Coturnix japonica: one gene and its partners. The protein of the gene in region 1 binds, or shares a complex with, the protein of each later gene. Links are inferred from orthologs where the notes say so. Each region holds a gene or a part of one and is shown in the gene's direction. Other genes may lie near its edges. The genes, in order: PTPRG, contactin-6 and CNTN4.

Evidence for each region.
Region 2: the proteins of PTPRG (region 1) and contactin-6 are in contact, whole or in part, in a crystal structure (PDB 5E5U), measured with the Mus musculus proteins. The link is inferred for Coturnix japonica from reciprocal best matches to the Homo sapiens genes PTPRG and CNTN6. Residues at the interface, in NP_033007.2 of Mus musculus: Val225, His226, His227, Lys229, Phe288, Thr290, Gln292, Gln293, Asp294, His295, Val296, Lys297, Ser298, Val299, Glu300, Tyr301; in NP_059079.2 of Mus musculus: Arg129, Val132, Arg135, Gln138, Gly139, Val140, Val141, Leu142, Leu143, Cys144, Gly145, Met222, Gly223, Tyr225, Glu226, Pro227, Lys228, Glu230, Leu252, Asn306.
Region 3: the proteins of PTPRG (region 1) and CNTN4 are in contact, whole or in part, in a crystal structure (PDB 3KLD), measured with the Mus musculus proteins. The link is inferred for Coturnix japonica from reciprocal best matches to the Homo sapiens genes PTPRG and CNTN4. Residues at the interface, in NP_033007.2 of Mus musculus: Lys222, Val225, His226, His227, Lys229, Phe288, Thr290, Gln293, Asp294, His295, Val296, Lys297, Ser298, Val299, Glu300, Tyr301; in NP_001103219.1 of Mus musculus: Thr128, Arg129, Ser130, Val132, Ser133, Arg135, Gln138, Gly139, Met140, Val141, Leu142, Leu143, Cys144, Gly145, Val219, Met220, Gly221, Glu222, Tyr223, Glu224, Pro225, Lys226, Glu228, Leu250, Asn304.

The regions. Positions count from the first base shown.
Region 1 is NC_029527.1:10,565,929-10,571,985, forward strand, and holds part of PTPRG (receptor-type tyrosine-protein phosphatase gamma), read left to right. Parts: intron 1-1,807; coding exon 1,808-1,901; intron 1,902-3,162; coding exon 3,163-3,239; intron 3,240-3,650; coding exon 3,651-3,779; intron 3,780-5,408; coding exon 5,409-5,555; intron 5,556-6,020; coding exon 6,021-6,057.
Region 2 is NC_029527.1:14,910,035-14,916,046, forward strand, and holds the start of contactin-6, read left to right. Parts: upstream 1-1,738; 5' UTR 1,739-2,501; intron 2,502-6,012. UniProt on the Homo sapiens protein: Contactins mediate cell surface interactions during nervous system development. Participates in oligodendrocytes generation by acting as a ligand of NOTCH1.
Region 3 is NC_029527.1:15,462,812-15,468,548, forward strand, and holds part of CNTN4 (contactin-4), read left to right. Parts: intron 1-6; coding exon 7-77; intron 78-931; coding exon 932-1,166; intron 1,167-1,674; coding exon 1,675-1,790; intron 1,791-2,279; coding exon 2,280-2,466; intron 2,467-2,892; coding exon 2,893-3,005; intron 3,006-4,099; coding exon 4,100-4,268; intron 4,269-5,171; coding exon 5,172-5,272; 3' UTR 5,273-5,737. UniProt on the Homo sapiens protein: Contactins mediate cell surface interactions during nervous system development. Has some neurite outgrowth-promoting activity. May be involved in synaptogenesis.

The DNA.
Region 1 (6,057 bases):
CCCATCCAGAGGGACCTAATTTCTCCGCTTTGTGTTGCTTGGTGTGCCTTCCCTGTTCATTGTCAGAGATAATGAACCTAACCAGAACACGTGATTAGCACAGCACAGCATCAGGGCTCAACAAGTCAGCCATGCTGTTGGAAATCAGCTCTGATGCTCTTGAAGTCAAAGATGCAAAGTGGAACACGAGCAGCGCTTTGAAGCGTGCTGCTGACAGTCTCCCCTTTTCAAAGGAGTTGGGCATTCCCGGGCCTGTGGGTAACTTGGCCAGAGGTCTTCCTCAAAACTGTGATTCTTATGTATATATATGGAGAAAGAAATGAGCTGAGGTTCTTTGTGCAACTTGCTATTTCCATGTTGTAAATAAGTAATTTAAAATACTTCAGTGCCAGGAAACACAATGTGCCTTTCTCAATGCTAATAGCCATGCTTGCTGCTTTTCCCTACTGTTTTATAGCTGCATTTGTCATGGCCAAAGTAAAATTATTTGCTTTGATCTATACAAAACCTACAATTTTCCGATTGCATTTTTTGAATGCATTTCTAACTTGTTTCTGGGACTGTGTTTCATATGATCATACATGATGTCTGTTTTCACACCTGAACTCAGTTTATTAACCACATAAGGAACTGAAACTGTTAAATTTTAACAGGTGCAAAGCTATCCAAAAAATGAACAAGGTAGTCTCAGAATTCACTTGTAGAAATGTCAGTACTCTCAATCGAGAAAGACATTCCAAGTGCTTAATTACAAAGTCAAAGAAACAAGAACAGGAGTGTGCACACACATGCAGGAGAAAAAGGCATTTGACTAGAAAAGAAAGATTCCACGTCTATAAAACATATCAAGCTATAAGGATGGAGAGGTTTTCTTACGGCTTATGGCAGAATTTGCACGTTTGAAGTGCCATTTTCCAAAATGACTTACTCTGCTAGGGCTGCACGAGTGTTTAGAAACTGAAACTTCCAGTGTAGCAATACTAGTATGTAGATGAGTTACGTGCTGTTGTGATTAGAGTGGGTTTGAAACTGGGACTAAGAAAGCAGTGATTATTAAATCCCTGATTTCTGCTGCCAGCTCAGAGCTGGCAGAAAATAACTCGTGCCATGATACAGATGTTTGGTTTTACCAACTGAGAGTAAAATTACACTGAGTAATGAGTCGCTACTGCAGGAGATGGGAAAGCCACCTTCACCCTTCTTGCTCTGGGAGAGCTCCCCATACGCCGGGGGAATATTCAAAGACAAATCTGCCTCCCTGACTTTTCATTTTGCCCGGAATGAATTTAGCTGACCGGATAATACAACTCTCAGCCTCAAATCCCTGCTGCTGGTGTGTTGGGTTCCCAAAAGGCCTGGCAGAGGAAAATAAAAATAAAAACTAAAAAGGCATTCTACAGGAATTGCCTTGCTTTCAGTTTGAAAGAAAACATAAAAGTTTGGGGTTTTTTTGGTCATAGTTTTATTTTGCTAGCTGTTCTTCCCCCAGACCTGCTTCCAACTGAACGTATCTCCAAGTCTTTGAAATATATTCTCGAAGGTAACGAAACGTACTGCTCTGTGAAAATGCATTGGGATGGAACTTCATTTTCAGGATGCTTCAAAGCTGAGAGCTGTAGTGATCTTTTTAGCCATTAAACAAATTGTATGAAAAGGATGATTTCCATCGGCATCCGGAGTACTTTAAACAAGTTTAACAACGCGGTGTGTTCTTCTACTGCTGCTTCTTCCCAGGAGTTGGCAAAGAAACCACCTCTCTTCATTTAGAGGGCTGTGAGGACTGACTTACTGCTTTATTCTCTTTCAGCTGGTTACACAGTGTAATGCAAAATATGTGGAATGCTTCAGTGCTCAGAAAGACTGCAACAAAGAGAAGAACAGGAACTCATCAGTCGTGCCATGTAAGATCGCATCTTTGGTTTGGTTACCACCTAGCATCACTTTTGGTAGTGAGCACTCTCTGTTATGCATGAAAAGGCGTAGCCACTAGGAAGAAATGTGATCTATATAGGCCAAGCTGTCTTGTCTTGAGGAATTACTCTGATGAAACTGAATGTAAGAAAATAGTTATGGTGTCAGTTAGATATCCTGCCCAAGTGGAATGTTAATGTGAAGTGCTTAAGAATTTGAATAATTAGGTGGAGGATAAATCTATGGATTACTGTCATAATTTGATGGAGCTCCCAGCTCAGGTGAGATCTCCCGGGGTGATTGGCACAAGTGTTTTTATGATTTACTTAACTTTATAGTACATTCAGTTTCTGTGTGCAAGCCTTCCTCAGATTTGAGGGTGTTTAGTGCCCAAGGCCACAGTTTCACGATCGTTAATATGGAATCTGTGCACAGTTTCCAGGCAGTGTGAACTTGCTAAGACTAAGCATAGTCACGACATCATTCCCATCACATTGCCCAGAGCACAGGGCATACAGGACAAGCAGTACTCAAAGTAGTGCAGCGCTGTGTGGGCACAGATTTAGTCCATTGTGAAGTTTGGTAACAACAAGAAAATCATCAGGAAATGTGTTATAAATGAAGGAGAATTGACTGAAATAGCCTGTATGATTTAGCAGATTGTGTTATGGAGCTGCAGTGATTTCAGTTTGGCAGTAGGAGCCTGTTGGATGTCCAGGTGATGTCACTGAACCCAACCCTCAAACACTAAGCAGTGCAGACCTGCTGAGGAACACTCACTCGCTTCTGGGTTGTTCCTCCTGATGGAAGGGTTTTATCTAAGAAGGTTATCTCACCTTTCAGATGGGAGGAATGAGCGGTGGTTGTGCTATGTAGTGGTAGGGAAAGCAAAATCAGTTACCTGGGTTTTTGTGCTGCTAGAAACAAATAGAATGCTACAGTCAAAAATTACCTGAAATCCCCTGTTATCACTGCATATACTGTTATTCGGTAATTCAGCCTGCTGTGAAAATCTTTGCTATAGTAAAATTTGATTCCTGAAATTACTTTGTCCTTGTGGGAATATTGTGCAGCGTTCTCTTTTATATTTTGGTTAGCAGGCAGTGCTTTAACACGGTTAAGTGCTGGCCTGCTCCTGCAGGAGATGGGAGCTGCAGTGTTTGGTTTGTTAACGTCTGAGAAATTCCTGCTTTCTGCAATGGGCCATGACCAGACTTTGATGTTCTTCTTCTTTTTATCTTTGTCCTGTAGCTGAGCGTGCGAGAGTGGGCTTGGCACCACTGCCTGGAATGAAGGGGACTGATTACATTAATGCCTCTTACATCATGGTGAGGAAGCCAACATCTAATTACAAAGTAAAATCAATTCTGAGGTGCTAAATACCAGATGCCTATAATTGTCTTAATTCTGTATGTAATGGCTGCGTATGAGCGGATGAGATTTTAACACCTTCCCCATAATGTAAAGCTATTAACTGTGTTTTATTAAAGATTGTTGCTTAAGAAAATTAAATACTAGATGCATATTTTCCAGAGGTACAGTCAAATAAATACTGGGATTTAGAGTAAGTGAAAACAACAGGGACTTTGCAGGCTGGAAATGGCATTACGGAATTACAGTCAGTGCAAAAATGTTGTGATATAGAATGATATAGGGTTGTCGTGTGTCCCCAGAGATAAAATTAATGCTTCAGAAGTATTGAAGGCAATAAGTAACTGTGGTTTGTTTTGCTGGAAAAGGGCTACTACAGGAGTAACGAGTTCATCATAACCCAGCATCCGCTGCCACATACAACTAAAGATTTCTGGCGAATGATCTGGGATCACAACGCGCAGATCATCGTCATGCTGCCGGACAACCAGAGCCTGGTGAGTGAAACACCTCCTTCCCTGTCGTACAGCAGTGACTTAGCTCAGCAGGCCACTGTAGAGTCACTGAGTCATTAAGGTTTGAAAAGACTACTAAGATCCTCAAGTCCAGCCATCAACCCATCACCACTGTGCCCACTAAACCACGTCACTAAGTGCAGCATCTACCATTTTCTTGAGCACCTGCAGGGATGGTGACTCCCCCACCTCCCCGGGCAGCCTGTTCAGATACCTAACCACTCTTTATAAGAAAACATCTTTCTTAATGTCCAGCCTGAACATCCCCTCGGTCATTTCTTTACACGCTGTAGTTACTTTCTTTTGAAAGCAAAGCCAGTTTACAAGTCACCCTCTTAAACTTTGCCTTAAGCGTGCTATAAAAGACTAGGGCAAGGACTTTGAGAGGAGCAAAAATGCAAAGCAAAGACATTAGAAAAGTTGCTTGTTTCCAGGAGTCTGAGGCCATGCAGGATTTAAGGCTATGCAAGATTACAGAAGTTATTTTAACGTAAGCTTAACATGTATGTTAATTTGTGAGACAAAGAGAGAGAAGCAGGTGACACAAGTGAAGTGCTAATCAGTACTTCCAGGTTTACTAACATATCTCAAGAGGACACTGCAAAAGGATTAAGAATTAAATGTGTTTTTTTCATACATGCATCATTAAGGTGCACAGACAATTGCAGCTGAGAATGGTAGAGAAACCACCTCCATTACAGCTGAAAAATAGCAGTCATGAGAGGCAGCAGTATAAATATTATACTAAATATCATGTCATAAAACTAGGGAGTCAGCATTCTGTATGCTTCCCATGTGCATTACAAATGCAGGTCAAAGATCATTCAGTGAAATACGATTGAATCAGAAAGTACTAATGAAACAGAGAGTGACAGGTAGAAATGAAGAGGTTGATCTTGTCTTCAAAAGTCTCTGGACTGTCTCTGCAGAACAGTAATGATTAAAGGGCAAACGAGGGGCACTGGACTCAGCCGTGTCACTTGCAAAGATGCTTGGTGCCAGCTTTCATCTTCAGTGAGCCCAGAATGGAGGCTGTCTAGTAGGGCAGTAATGTCTGTGCTCTGGTCCGTTGATTGGTTTCTGTTGTTGGCTTCCAGGGAGGGATGGAAGGGGACTGAGACAGCGTCTTCTCCCACCCTTAAAAATTCTACCCCTTCATGTCCATCCTCCACCCAGATCTGATCCAAAGACCTTCCACTGACAGCCTTGAGTTGTGGCTTAGACCACAATAGGTACAAATTCAGAATAGTAAGCAATTAATTGTAAAGGTCAATGAGTTTTTTCTAAACAAGTGTCTAACTTCTTTGAAAAACTGTGTAGGCAGGAGGTAATATGACACAAAGGTTAAGTACAAGCGAGGTAAGAGAACCATTTCCCTGTGAAACCAATTAAAAAGCAAGTGTTACCTGTTTGGACTCACAAAAGAGGGGCCTGGCAAGCTTAATGACTTCTAGTAGACTAATAGTAAGTTGGTTTTAGACAAAATATATCTTTTAAATGTCAGCTCCTGATCATCTCTATGTATCAAACCAATTTTTTGATCCACTGGACGTTTCAGTCACCCACAAGGTATCTGAAAGTCAGCAGTGCTGTGTTTTTCCTTTCCTCCAGGCAGAAGATGAGTTTGTGTACTGGCCAAGTCGAGAGGAATCCATGAACTGTGAGGCCTTTACTGTGACCCTTATCAGCAAAGACAGACTGTGCCTCTCTAACGAAGAGCAAATTATCATCCATGACTTTATCCTTGAAGCTACCCAGGTAAAATAAACCTCCAACTATGGGTCTTGGCTCCTCTCCAGAATGTTGTTAGTGTCATTGAAATATGGCAGAACAAAAGTTCACTAACAGTATTGAAAACTACATACTTGTAAATGTGTGTGCATGCATGTTGCTCACGGGGGAAAGCTGTTCTCATTGACTCCTTCTCCCTCTGACATCTTCTACTTCCAGGTAGATTCCTTTCGCTAGCAAGGCTGTGTAGTATTGAGTGTTTGACATATTTGAAAGTGACAACATTGTTTAAAATTGTTAAAATTGAATTGTTTGAGGATGTTCACAGGTACAGAGATCCTGGAGCTGTGTGTCGTATCTTCTCTTTTTACATATGTGGTTTGGAAGACAATTCCTCTTCTCAGTGTGTAGAGGGGCTCTTTCATCTTTTATCCTGGAGTGGATAAAAGTGAAACTGAAGTAGCTAATGCTGAGGCTGATTTTTCGTTTCAGGATGACTACGTTCTGGAAGTCCGCCACTTTCAGTGTC
Region 2 (6,012 bases), about 4.3 Mb from region 1:
AAACTTTTGACTCATTATGAGCCAGTGCCAGCTTTTGGGGTGACAATCACCCACGCTCTGGCCCTAACAGGACCCCAATGGAAGGTTTTATGGTTGAAAAGGTTTATATAGCTTTTGACTGCTGGAAACCCTGTAAAGTTCTGTTTGATCTGCATTTAAAAAATAAAATTAAATTAAAAAAAATAAAGCCAGACAGCTTTCCCTGCCAGAATATGGTAATTGTTCAAAATGAAATGTCAATGTCAATGAAATTTTGTTCTGAAAGAAAACTGGGCAAAAAATACAACATTTTGGTAACATTTAAATGTTCTATCTTGACCTTTAGGAACAGACTGTTTTGATATTCATTTTTGTCTTCGCTGTGTCATTTGTAAAAGATATAGGCATAATCTTCAATACATGATAATATGTTTCAGAAAATGAAAATCAGAACTAACCAGCTTTTAATAGGAACACAGTGCAGAATTTCAGAAGTTCAAAGTTCAAACATATTTGTTACAGTACTTTCCAAGTGAAAATATTGGATCTTGAAGTGAATAATCTATCTTTAGTGGGGACATCTTTGTTTTCATTCCCAATTGGAAATGAGAACACTCTAAAAGCAAACCAGTGACAAGAAGCAAGGGTTAATCAGTTATAACCAACTCTTGGTCTATTTACACTTGATGCAACTTTTAAAAAGCACTCTCATTATTTAAAAACAATAATAATAATGAGGAAATACTTATATTCCATTTCAAATTGTATTCCTAATTAAAAGCAGGACTGCTAATTACAATGCCTGTCTACTTTGGAAGGTGCTGCAAGGCTTAATTAATTGTCAGTGAAGTCATTTGAGATGCTCGCACAATGGACACGTAAGATTGGTTATGTTAATCAGGTGGATGGCTCTGTGAGCTGTGCATCAAGAGGGGACTGATCCAGTCATGTCCCTGTGGTGCTGGTGAAGGATGTACCTACAGCCCATGAGATCCTGTGGACCTGTTGCCTCCATCTTACAAAGGGAAGTTTAGGAATCTGAGGCATTTCCTGGGCAGCTCTTTGCAAGGGTTGAGTAGAATCCAGATCTCTTGAAACAAGCCTGAAGCACCATCCTTCTGTACAGACAAATTAAAGAAACCTCCTCCAGCCCTCTACTTTTAGGCGGCACATCTTTAACTTCTCTCCGAGCATTACTTCATTTGTCTTCAAAGCTGTCTCAATAGCCACGTCCAGTTAGAGCAAACTCAGTGCATCTCAGCAGTGCCTTTGAATGGGCTGGTCACAAGTCCAAAGAGAAACCCACTGCACCCCTCCATGACCAGAACACATGGATGGAGGGAAGCAGCAGCCTGAAAGGATAGGTATGGTGGCAGAAGGGACATCACTCAGCTTACAGCTGGGGTGAATGCCAACCAAGTCATGTAGAGGTGTGCACCTCCTCTTCTGCAGACTGAGATGTTTTGTCTGCTCCAGGCACCTGTGTACTGCTGTGTGTTTTTGCCACCTGACTTCCACTTCCTCTCCACTTTGCCAATGCTCAGACAGGCATGCAATTAATCCCATTACAAACTAATGGATTTACACCACGATTACATTAAAACGTGGTGAAGCAGTGCCTGTGACACAACTGTACTTTTCTTGGCAGGAACATTCTGAAAACTGCTCTTTCCACTTCCATCCCTCGTGAATACAAATAACTTTTGCTTACTAACGGAAAGTCATTTCCCTGTCTGAGCTTTGCATTTGATCTCTGCTGAAGCAGTCTCAAGAGGAAAAACGGAAATCTAAGAAGTTTGTGTGTAATAAGGATTTATGTCTCTGCTTCTTCAAACAAACAAGCCTTTTTTGTTGTTGTTTTGCTTTTCAATATGCAAAATATGAGGGGCATTTAAATGCTTCAGGACGACAGTCAGCGCTGGGATACAGCGACTCAGCTCCCATGTGATGGGCTTCGTATTATGGAGTTCAGGAAGTGACTGTGTAACCCGGGACTAAACAAAATATTTCTACTCCTGTTCTAAACCCAATACTGAGTGTGACCCAATTTCCAGGTAGGGAGGTTTTCTGATTACCTGACAGGAGCTCCTATTTGTAGGAAAAGAATAGCAAGAGCACATTTAATCTTTCATGCTACGAGTCTGACAGCTGTGTTTTCACTCTCAGCTTGCTTGAAGGATGATCAGTGAAGAGCTAATTTTCCTACGTTCAAGATTTGCAGATAGGAATATGCATACACTGTAGTACCTGTTTATCTGCTTCAAGCATTAATTGTGTGGGTTCTAGCACGAGTGCAGCAGGAAAGCAGTGTATTTCATGGTTAATACCAGTGAAGAGACACGCAATGCTCAGTGGATAAAAGGCTTCTAGTCCCAGCTGGGAAAATAGTTCCATTATCTCCCAGCTGCATAGACCTTCCATACGGCTCCGTTCTGCCTCGATGAACACTGTGCCTTGCTGAGAGCTTGAAACAGTTCTGCAGAAAATTGTAAAGATCCTGAGACATTTCACTGTTAAGATCTGTAAGTACAGAATTGTGCTGTCTACTGCAATGTGAATAATGCTGGGGGAACTGTCTTTTTTTTGTTGTTGTTTTGGTTTAAAATCAGTATTTTTTCATTAGCATAAGGGGTAGAGAATGAAGAAAATTCACTGCTTTATTTATGTTTTTCTATCTCTAAATGGCTGATGGTCCAAATGTATACATTTTTGGAAGAGACAAATATATACATAATGAATTTGTATGCATGCGAGGTCTGAGTCAAACAGAGTAGGAGACTGTGCTGGTAACAGACACTACAGGTATATTTTTTGAGAGTATCACAGCTCACTGCTGCAGTAACACGGATAACACAGAGGATGACAGTGCTAATTTTGCCACTTTCATAAGACTTTGTGCAGCATATAAATAACGAGGTGGGTAATGAGAGACCAATCGAATTTCTACCAGCTGAAGGTGTAAAAGCAATCAACATAAATCCTAAGAAAATTTAAGCAAGCCTTTAAAGGAAGCCTTTCCTCTTGCTTGTTTTAACAATTAAAAAAGTCAAGGTAACAGCATTCTGTTTTTGCAAGATGTGCAAAGGTTTATTTTTGACCCTGTCATTTACTTACAGAGTATGACACAGCCATAAAGAAATGTGACGCTTTATAAAAAGTTTTGGAAGTCCACATTTGCAGAAGCAACTGCTTGACTAGCGCCTTCTGTTAAACCATGTACTCCCATGGTGCTCTTTAGGCAAACACCTCGACTCAGACAGTTGTTGCATGTCTGAAGGGTCTCCTCCAGCAGCCTCTAAACCATCAGGCTGAATGCTAACAATTTCCTGCAGCACTTAAGCACCTGAATGATTAAACAAGAGGCAAACACTCTGCACCCTATTTAAATAAGTTGCTTGTCCTTTTGACAAGGCTGCAGCCAATTTCAGGTAAATATAACGAGTTAAAAGAATCAGACTATTTATGAAATAGCATTTCCTCCACCCTTTTTATTCTCTTCCTCCCAAGAGGGTCGAAGTGCCACACCAGCAATTCTTCAAGTTTTACAAGTTCACTGAGTTGTGTGTATGTATGTAAACTCTGCAGCATTTGTAATTCCAGGCACCACACCACCACAAAGAACCCATCCCCATCAGCCAGCTTTTGTTTTGGTGCTCCTGAGGCACTATATCAGTGTTTCACGTTCCATGAGTCCCTGCTTGAGAGGTTTTATGACATTAAAAAGTCCCAACTCAGTACCTGGAGGAAGTTAGCAACTATTGTATATCAAATTTTATTGTTTAAAAAAGAAAAATAAAACACTCCAACGTATCCAGCTATAGTTTTCAAATGGTGGTGAGGTACTGATTGCTATGTATTAGGTGTGTTACCTTCCATGCTGAGGATGAAATTATAATAATATATAACAATGTAAGTGCTTTAAATCAAAGAAGAGACGTGTTTCTTCCAGCTCTTCAGTCAGTATTAGAAAGGTTTGTGGTGCATAGTAGGCTCCCCTAAAACTAATTTCTTGCTGCTGAAGCAAATATTGCAATCACAAAACAAGGTGCCAGCATCCCCAAAAGGACCTGAAATACAAAGTTGTGCATTTGCATTACATGCCCATAAAACACTATTTGTAACTGGGCAGGAAATTTCCATTAGGTTTATCTCTGTATTGGAAGTATATAGGACTACATCAACTCTTCAAAATGACATTCAGTGATCTTTTCCCCCTCAGCCCAGAAGCTGAATTAACTCCACGTTACCAAAAGACAATATTCCTTTTGTTTAAGATTAGGACTGACTTCATTGCAAAGGGTTGCTGCTGCTTGCCTGCTCACAGTCCCTCCTCAACCCAGCCAGCTGCCTTCAGGCCCCACTCACGGCAACCATGCCCCAAACCCACCTCTACCCACGTGAACTCCAGAGGAGGGAAAAAAAATGCCAAAACCCCTTTTATCCTTCTTATCAAAGGCTGCACTCAGCGTGGATTAGAGCTAGGTATGAGGGCACGTTTGCAGCTTGGTCTGCTAGGCGCGAAGCAATCTCTTTACAAAACAAAGGCTCAAGTAACTTCAGACAGTTTTCCAACCACACAGATACCTGCACTGGTAATTTATCTCTGGGATACCAAAAACCCAGCATTGTGGGAAAACAGCACTCTGTAACACCCTTATTTCCGCTCCAAACCTAGCACACTTCTGTAAGGCCTTCTTATGAACACACAAACTTTCTATAAATGCAGAATACTCAGGGAAAAAAAGTAGTCTGCGCCGCTGGAAAAGTAACTTTGAAAAGCTGAAGCATCAGAAAGAAAACCAACCCACATCACGGTAAATCAGAACGTGGCACTTACAGTTCTGTGCCTTGTCAGGGGAACAACCAGATGCGGCCCAAGGCAGAACACCAAGGCTGCTGCTGAGCAGACCAGCTCAGCTCTGAGAGAGGTGACAGCAGGATATTGCTACACAAAATGTAACAACAGCTAAATATGAGGATCTGGATCTACCGGATTGAAACACTTGGAGATTTCCAGGCTGAGGAGCTGGGCTCTGCCAGCTCACACCTGCAGCTCCTCGGCTGAGCAGGTCAGGCCCAGCTGTTCTGCCCCCCAGCAGATAATTAACAGCTCTTAACAACCCATTAATGGGCAGTAATTCATCTTACACAACTGTTGATTTGCTGTTGCTGTAGGAAGCATGTGGGGGTGGATAACCTAGGCCTGCAGTGAGGGCTTTTTCTCCTCTCTGCGTGGACGTTTCTGTTGCATTGCGGTATGCTGAAATCTTCTAGGATTCTTTCCCAGAATATTTGCTTAACTTTAGAAAACATGGGAAGGGCACAGCGGGAGAAACACCTGTCTTAAAATGGTCTTTCCTGAGCTCTCCTGGATTTGCAAGTGGCTTTGGACCTGCCTTGCCCTGTGCTTTACTTCTTCCTCATTAAGATGCACAGTCGTCCCCTGGTGCCATCTCAAAGACAGGATTTGTATGTCTGCAAGATATAGAACAGAGCTGAGAAGGACCAGCCTCGAATCACCAGAAGGACAGAGCTGTGAGCTGCTGACACGAGCAGAGAAAAGCAGCTCCTCCGCTGGTAGGTACACGATTGCATTTTCACAAGTGCAGCAGTCTCCGTGCTCTGCTGGAGGACAGGAGACAGATGATCCCTCCTGCACTGCTGGCAGCAGCTGTGCAACATTTAATCAGGTTGCGTGTTATTGGCATATTTCCTGGTCGGCTTACTTTGTTTTGTCCTCGATAACTTAGTGCTTTAAACTCCCCATGTCAGTGTCTCCAGGCTGCTGCTGCTCCTCCTTGTCCTCCTGCCAGCACCCGGAGCAGGCTGGGCTGAGGACAGTACTAACATCATGCTATATGCTCTTCTGGGCTCAGTAAAGAGGCTTGCTGACAGTCGGTTTAAGTATCCAGTCTGCCATGCCTGTTTTTTGGGGGGCTTTTATGTGGGATTGTTTGTATTTTGGCTTTCCTGCAAGAGAAAAATGTGTAGCATACAGAATAGCAAGAGAGAGACAGGAACAGGGGGGAGGTG
Region 3 (5,737 bases), about 4.9 Mb from region 1:
TTGCAGTTCCTGAAGTCACCCCAGCCAATGTCAGTGGAGGTGGAGGCAGCAAGTCAGAGCTGGTCATTACGTGGGAGGTGAGTGGAGACCAAACCAAGAGGAGAATGAATATGGTGCTGCGAACCAAGGGCAACTCCTGAGCCTCAGCCCTTACCTTGGTGCTGTGTTATGTGGCAGCAAATGGTTAAGAGTTAGCACAATGCAATTCACGCTGGTTTTTACTGCTGCTAATGAAAGCCAGCAAGAGGAGATGCAGAGATGAAGAATGTTTAATATTCCTTAAGGCAGCCAGGGCTAGAACTTTAGTCATTTGTCTGCTCGTATTTTCATGTTATGATGTGATGCAGCTGGCGTATTTTTCCTAATAATGAACTTCACTAGACATGCTAACACTTCCACTTAGCACTGTTCCTGACCAAGCTGGCAGAATGAATCACCAGAGATATTTTTAAGGTTATTAAAAAACTATAAATGGGTTTTTCTCCTTACCACACAGCTCAATGTGCTAAATTTCCCCCTCCATTGGACTAATTAGTTTCGCTGCATCTCCTACAGATACTCCAATATGTTTCAAAAACACAAGAACATCAGCCGTGACTTTGACTCATAATTTGCACAGAATATAATTTGTATTCCAACACAACAGTCAATTTATTCTCATAAACATCCAGAGGCCATCTTTCTAATGGCCTGGTATTTTATATTTTTGAGCCTTGGACTGCAGAGCGACGCCGCCACCAAAAGTAACCCCTTGACACACAGGACAGTGGCCCATCATTACAGAATATTGTCATACATTGAAACTTTGGGTGTCCATAGGCCCATTTGAGCTTCCAGCTGCTAACCCTAGACTTAGGAAGGACCAAGAAGCAATAGGGAAATAAATGCAATTGCTCAACTTGCCACCTCTCCATGCTTTGTCTGCCCACAGACCGTGCCTGAGGAGCTGCAGAACGGAGGTGGCTTTGGCTACGTGGTGGCCTTCCGCCCCTTCGGCACCATCAGCTGGATGCAGACCGTCGTGGCCTCGCCAGACGCCTCCAGATACGTCTTCCGCAACGAGAGCCTGCCGCCCTTCTCGCCCTACGAAGTGAAAGTGGGGGTGTACAATAACAAGGGGGAAGGCTCCTTCAGTCCCGTGACAGTCGTGTACTCGGCAGAGGAAGGTAGTGTGAGGAGCCCATCCCCCCTCCCCCGCCTTGCCATCATCCGCGGATCAGAGAGGGTTCAGCATCCGCATTGACATTTTTTGATTCCTAATCCTTGCTCTGATTTATAATAAATGGTGCACCGTGATTAATTCTTTTGATAGTCATTAAAATAACATTAATCGTAATGAAATCTTTTGATATTAATGAAAAAGCAATATGTAATCTGGAAAGAATTCAGCAGAGATTTAGTATGAATTAATGTCCACTGATTAGAAAATGTTCCCTCTTGTCCTAATTACTGTACATGGTATCCTAGGTTGGGCTTAGTAATGACATTTATTATTTCTCTTGCAAAGGGGAAGTGCAGTCTAGCACAGGCCTGACAGGGCTTTGTTTTGAAATGGGAAAGTTTGTTTTTGTCACATGCCTCTTTTCGCATGCAATAATGAAATTCCCTTGAAGTTAGTGACTAATTAAACATAGAATTGAAAACTCTGATTTTATTTTTAACTCTTCTACCCAGAGCCAACCAGAGCTCCAGTCACAGTTCTCGCCAGAAGCCTTTCTGCCACAGACATTGAAATTTCTTGGGCTCCTCCTCGAGAGAATCAGCACAAAGGAAGGATACAGGGCTATGAGGTAAGGCAGGGAGCCACGGCGTGGTTCCAGGGCTGTGTGCTAAGCAGTTTGGGGCAGCACTGCTCCTACTGTGTGGTCCTGCTGAGCAGTGCCTTACTCTTTCAGCAGTAAGAAAAGGTTCATTCTCTTCCGCGGTAAAAGGTGACACATCTGTCTGTGTGAAATGCAGATGGGAACTTGCTGTGGTCAGACAGTGTGTGCTGATGACCAGACAGGCTGCTCTGACATCAGCAAGCTTCTTGGGAAAGTCCATAGTTTGCAGGTCATTTCTTCCATCTCAGACCAAAGCAGTGGTCATAAGCAGCCCCGAGTTTAAGGACAGAAGGTATCCTGTTTAATCCTTGGCATCTCCCCTGAGGTGGGAAAAACAGCAAGACTTGCCCAGATGAGACACAGAGAACCTCTTTGGGCAGAAGTATCATAGAGCTAGGAACCACCAGGATGCTGCCTGCCTGCAGCTGGGGTTGAAGCGCTCACTTTGTCTTGCAGGTCAGGTGTTGGAGACATGACGAAAAGGAAGAGAACGCGAGAAGGATCAGGACAGTTGGTAACCAGACATCTGCCAAAGTCACCAACTTGCAAGGCAATGCACTCTATCACCTGGCAGTCAAGGCATACAACACTGCTGGCACCGGCCCGTCCAGCGCCGTGGTCAACGTGACGACAAAAAAGCCACGTGAGTGCTCAGGACAGTAGGCCGTGCTCTGCCTGGAGAGGGTCTCTGCCAGCTCTCCTAGTTTTAATTGAGCCTAAGGAACTGGGAGATATTTATTTGCTGTTTTCTTTGTGCAGAAGGATTAGCCATTTCTTGGTAAGGTTCTTCTCCATGTTAAGTAAGCAGAGCTTGCAAAATTAAAATCACAGCTGTGTAGGAACATTAAGTATTTATCTTGTTCAAGAGGTTTTTTTCTTCTTGTCTTGGGCATGTTGAGCACCTGAATGCATACCTTTACAGCCAGAAGACAGTGCAGTGTCACAGCTGCTGTGACCTCAGGGAGATCAGCTCATAAGCTGGGATGGGACAAGTTGGAAGGGTATGGGGAGGGATCTGACTGCCAATGGCACTCCACAGTCACAGAATGCTTTCTCTGGTTTGCCATAGCACCAAGTCAACCCCCTGGGAACATCATATGGAACTCATCAGACTCCAAGATCATACTGAACTGGGACCAGGTGAAAGCACTGGATAATGAGTCAGAAGTGCGGGGCTACAAAGTGAGTGTTTGCCAGCACGGGTCATACACAGCCTCCATTGGGACATGCAGGGAGTCCTGATGGAGCATTGGCTGTCCCCAAATTCTTGCACTGGGCTTTAATGGGAATGTTCATTATCCTGTATTGAGTTTGGGGTTTACAGTAGGACCTTGGGTGGAAACCTTCCAGAGGCTGTAGCCAGCTCCTTAATTGCAGATAAATAAAATGCTTTTTTAATAGCTCTATTTTCTTCAGAAAGCAAAGCCAAAAGAAAAGAAAGAGAATCCTCATTAGTAGCTGTTTTAATAGGGTTTAATTTAACCAGAGAGAAATCTTGGGAAGAATTCAGCTCCATCACCTTCCACGAGGGTTTAATTTGGCCCAAAGAAGACACCAGTGAGTGAATGCCAGCCATTGCCTCTGGGGCTGGGCTATGTGAGCATTTCCACCAGAGCTGGAAGCAGTGAAGGACCTGGGCACGCTTCATTTTCTGTTCACAGCCCACAGTTTGGCAGCATCAGACTCATGTGTTTGTGCCAGCTCTCATGTCTGCCCTCACTTCTAAGTATCTTTGATGCACTCTGCTGAATAATCAAAAGTAAGGAATTTCTCGGGGCTTTCAGTCAGAAACCCCAGATGAATCCCAGCAGTTCAGACTGTCTCATCCCTACACATTTTTGGTCTGAAATGCAAATTAAGAAGTCAGTTGAAACAGGTGAAAGAGCCTCTCATACCCTTGAAAAGGCAGAATCTGTCTCACAGGTGTCTAAAAGTTCCTTTCTTTACTTACGGTTAGGATAACTCACATTCCTTCCCGGCTCACAGCAAAACACTGCCCAATTTTTGGTGTTTTTTTTTCTGGAAATCTTCAGAATTATGCCACAATTTGTGGTGCTAATTAATAGGACTTGTGGTTCTTAGCAGGTGAATTTAAGAAGTAGTTTAGGTGGGGAGGGCAGTAGTGGCTGCTGGGGTCAGGACTGCACCTTGGTGACCAGACTGTGTGTCTGGGTGTCACTGGGTACTTGAGGTGTGTGAAGAGCAGTGGTCAGACCAGATGCTCCTACAGCAACGAGTGCTTCTGCTGTTTGTGCTTCCTCATTGCTCTCCCACAGGTTTTGTACAGGTGGAACAGGCAGAGCAGTGCATCTGTGATTGAAACCAACAGGACCTCGGTGGAGCTCTCCCTGCCCTTTGATGAGGACTACATCATCGAGATAAAGCCCTTCAGTGACGGGGGCGATGGCAGCAGCAGCGAGCAGATCCGGATCCCAAAGATCTCGAGTAAGGCCAGGGAGCAGGTGCCCCTCTACCCTGTGTCACCCCAGGAGCAGCCAGTGGGACCTGGGCATGGGCATCATGCCCTGGGGGGGCAGAAATTCAGCATCCAGCACAGCTCAGGGTCCCAGCTCCAGCCTGAGCCAAGGTTAAACTATGAGAGATGCTGTCATAAGCGCTTACGGTTCTGTTTTAAGATTTCTACACACTTTCTGCTTCCTACTTCCATACTCATATATACTGAATATATTGTTTCACTGCAACTCACTATAACAAAATATAAAACGCAGTGTTCAGAGACTTTTAAATTTATAAGGCTACTATATAGCAATATTCCATTCTGTGTTGGATGCATAAATATTTATTTAGGGAAATGAGGTTGTGCAGAAGAACAAACAGAAAAGAGAGTATTTTATTACTCAACATTGCTTTTGCAAAATCTCCATGTCCCATCTTCCATTAATAATACCGCAGTTTATAAGCTGCATTAAATCAGCTGCCTCTGCAATGCAGGAATGTGGCATTAAAATTACAGCGATGTGAAAAGCCCTGTGTGAGAGCAGAATTATCTCCCCCTGGTTGTGTGCTGTGGCCATACTAACCCTGCAGAGGGATTTCATCAGCAGACACAGCAGAGCAGGAGCGCACGCCAGTTCCTATTTGGCTCCACGCAGGAGTATCCCCATAGGATGCTTTAGGATCGTCCTTTAGGATGTGGATTGGGCCAGGCTGGTGCCGTTAATAACAGCTTGAATAACTGTAAAGAAGTATGTGGGAGAAGCCTCAGAATAACAGCAGTGGAGATTTCAGTGGGCAGGAAGGGGTGGTGGTGGAGCATGGGGAATGGGCAGGGCTGTGGGCTGAAGGTTTGCAGTGCTCTCTGCTGATCTCCCTTTTTTCTTTGCTCAGATGCGTACGCGAGAGGAGGCAGCCCTTCGACCTCCAACGCCTGCACACTGTCAGCCATCAGCACGATAATGATCTCGCTCACAGCTCGGTCCAGTTTATGACAAAAATTACACAGAGGACTTCTTGTTTATAATATAAGCAACATTTAGCTAGCTGTTTTGAAGACACCCAGTACCAAGTAATATTGTGGTTTGAGTACATCTTACTACTGGAAAAATGTTTATGCTTCTTTAGGAATGGCATTATACAGTACTTCCTCAAAGCAAATATAGCTTTGTCTGAAGTTTCCTTGGAAACTCTGCAATGCACTGAAAACATCTGTAATACGATGTTACCAAAGCAGTTTACATATGTCCTTATATGCATATTTTTTATTATATATTTAGTGTTTTATAGAATTTTTTAAAAGTTAACATACGATGTAGATATTAATTTTTCCTCTGCTATAAAATGCTATGGACAACATTATCATGAAAATATTGTTTGGAATTTTTTCCTTTCTGACGAGAGTTCCACGTTGTTCTTAGTCAATTGGCCGCCCCTTTCCTGTTTGGTGTCACAGGGCT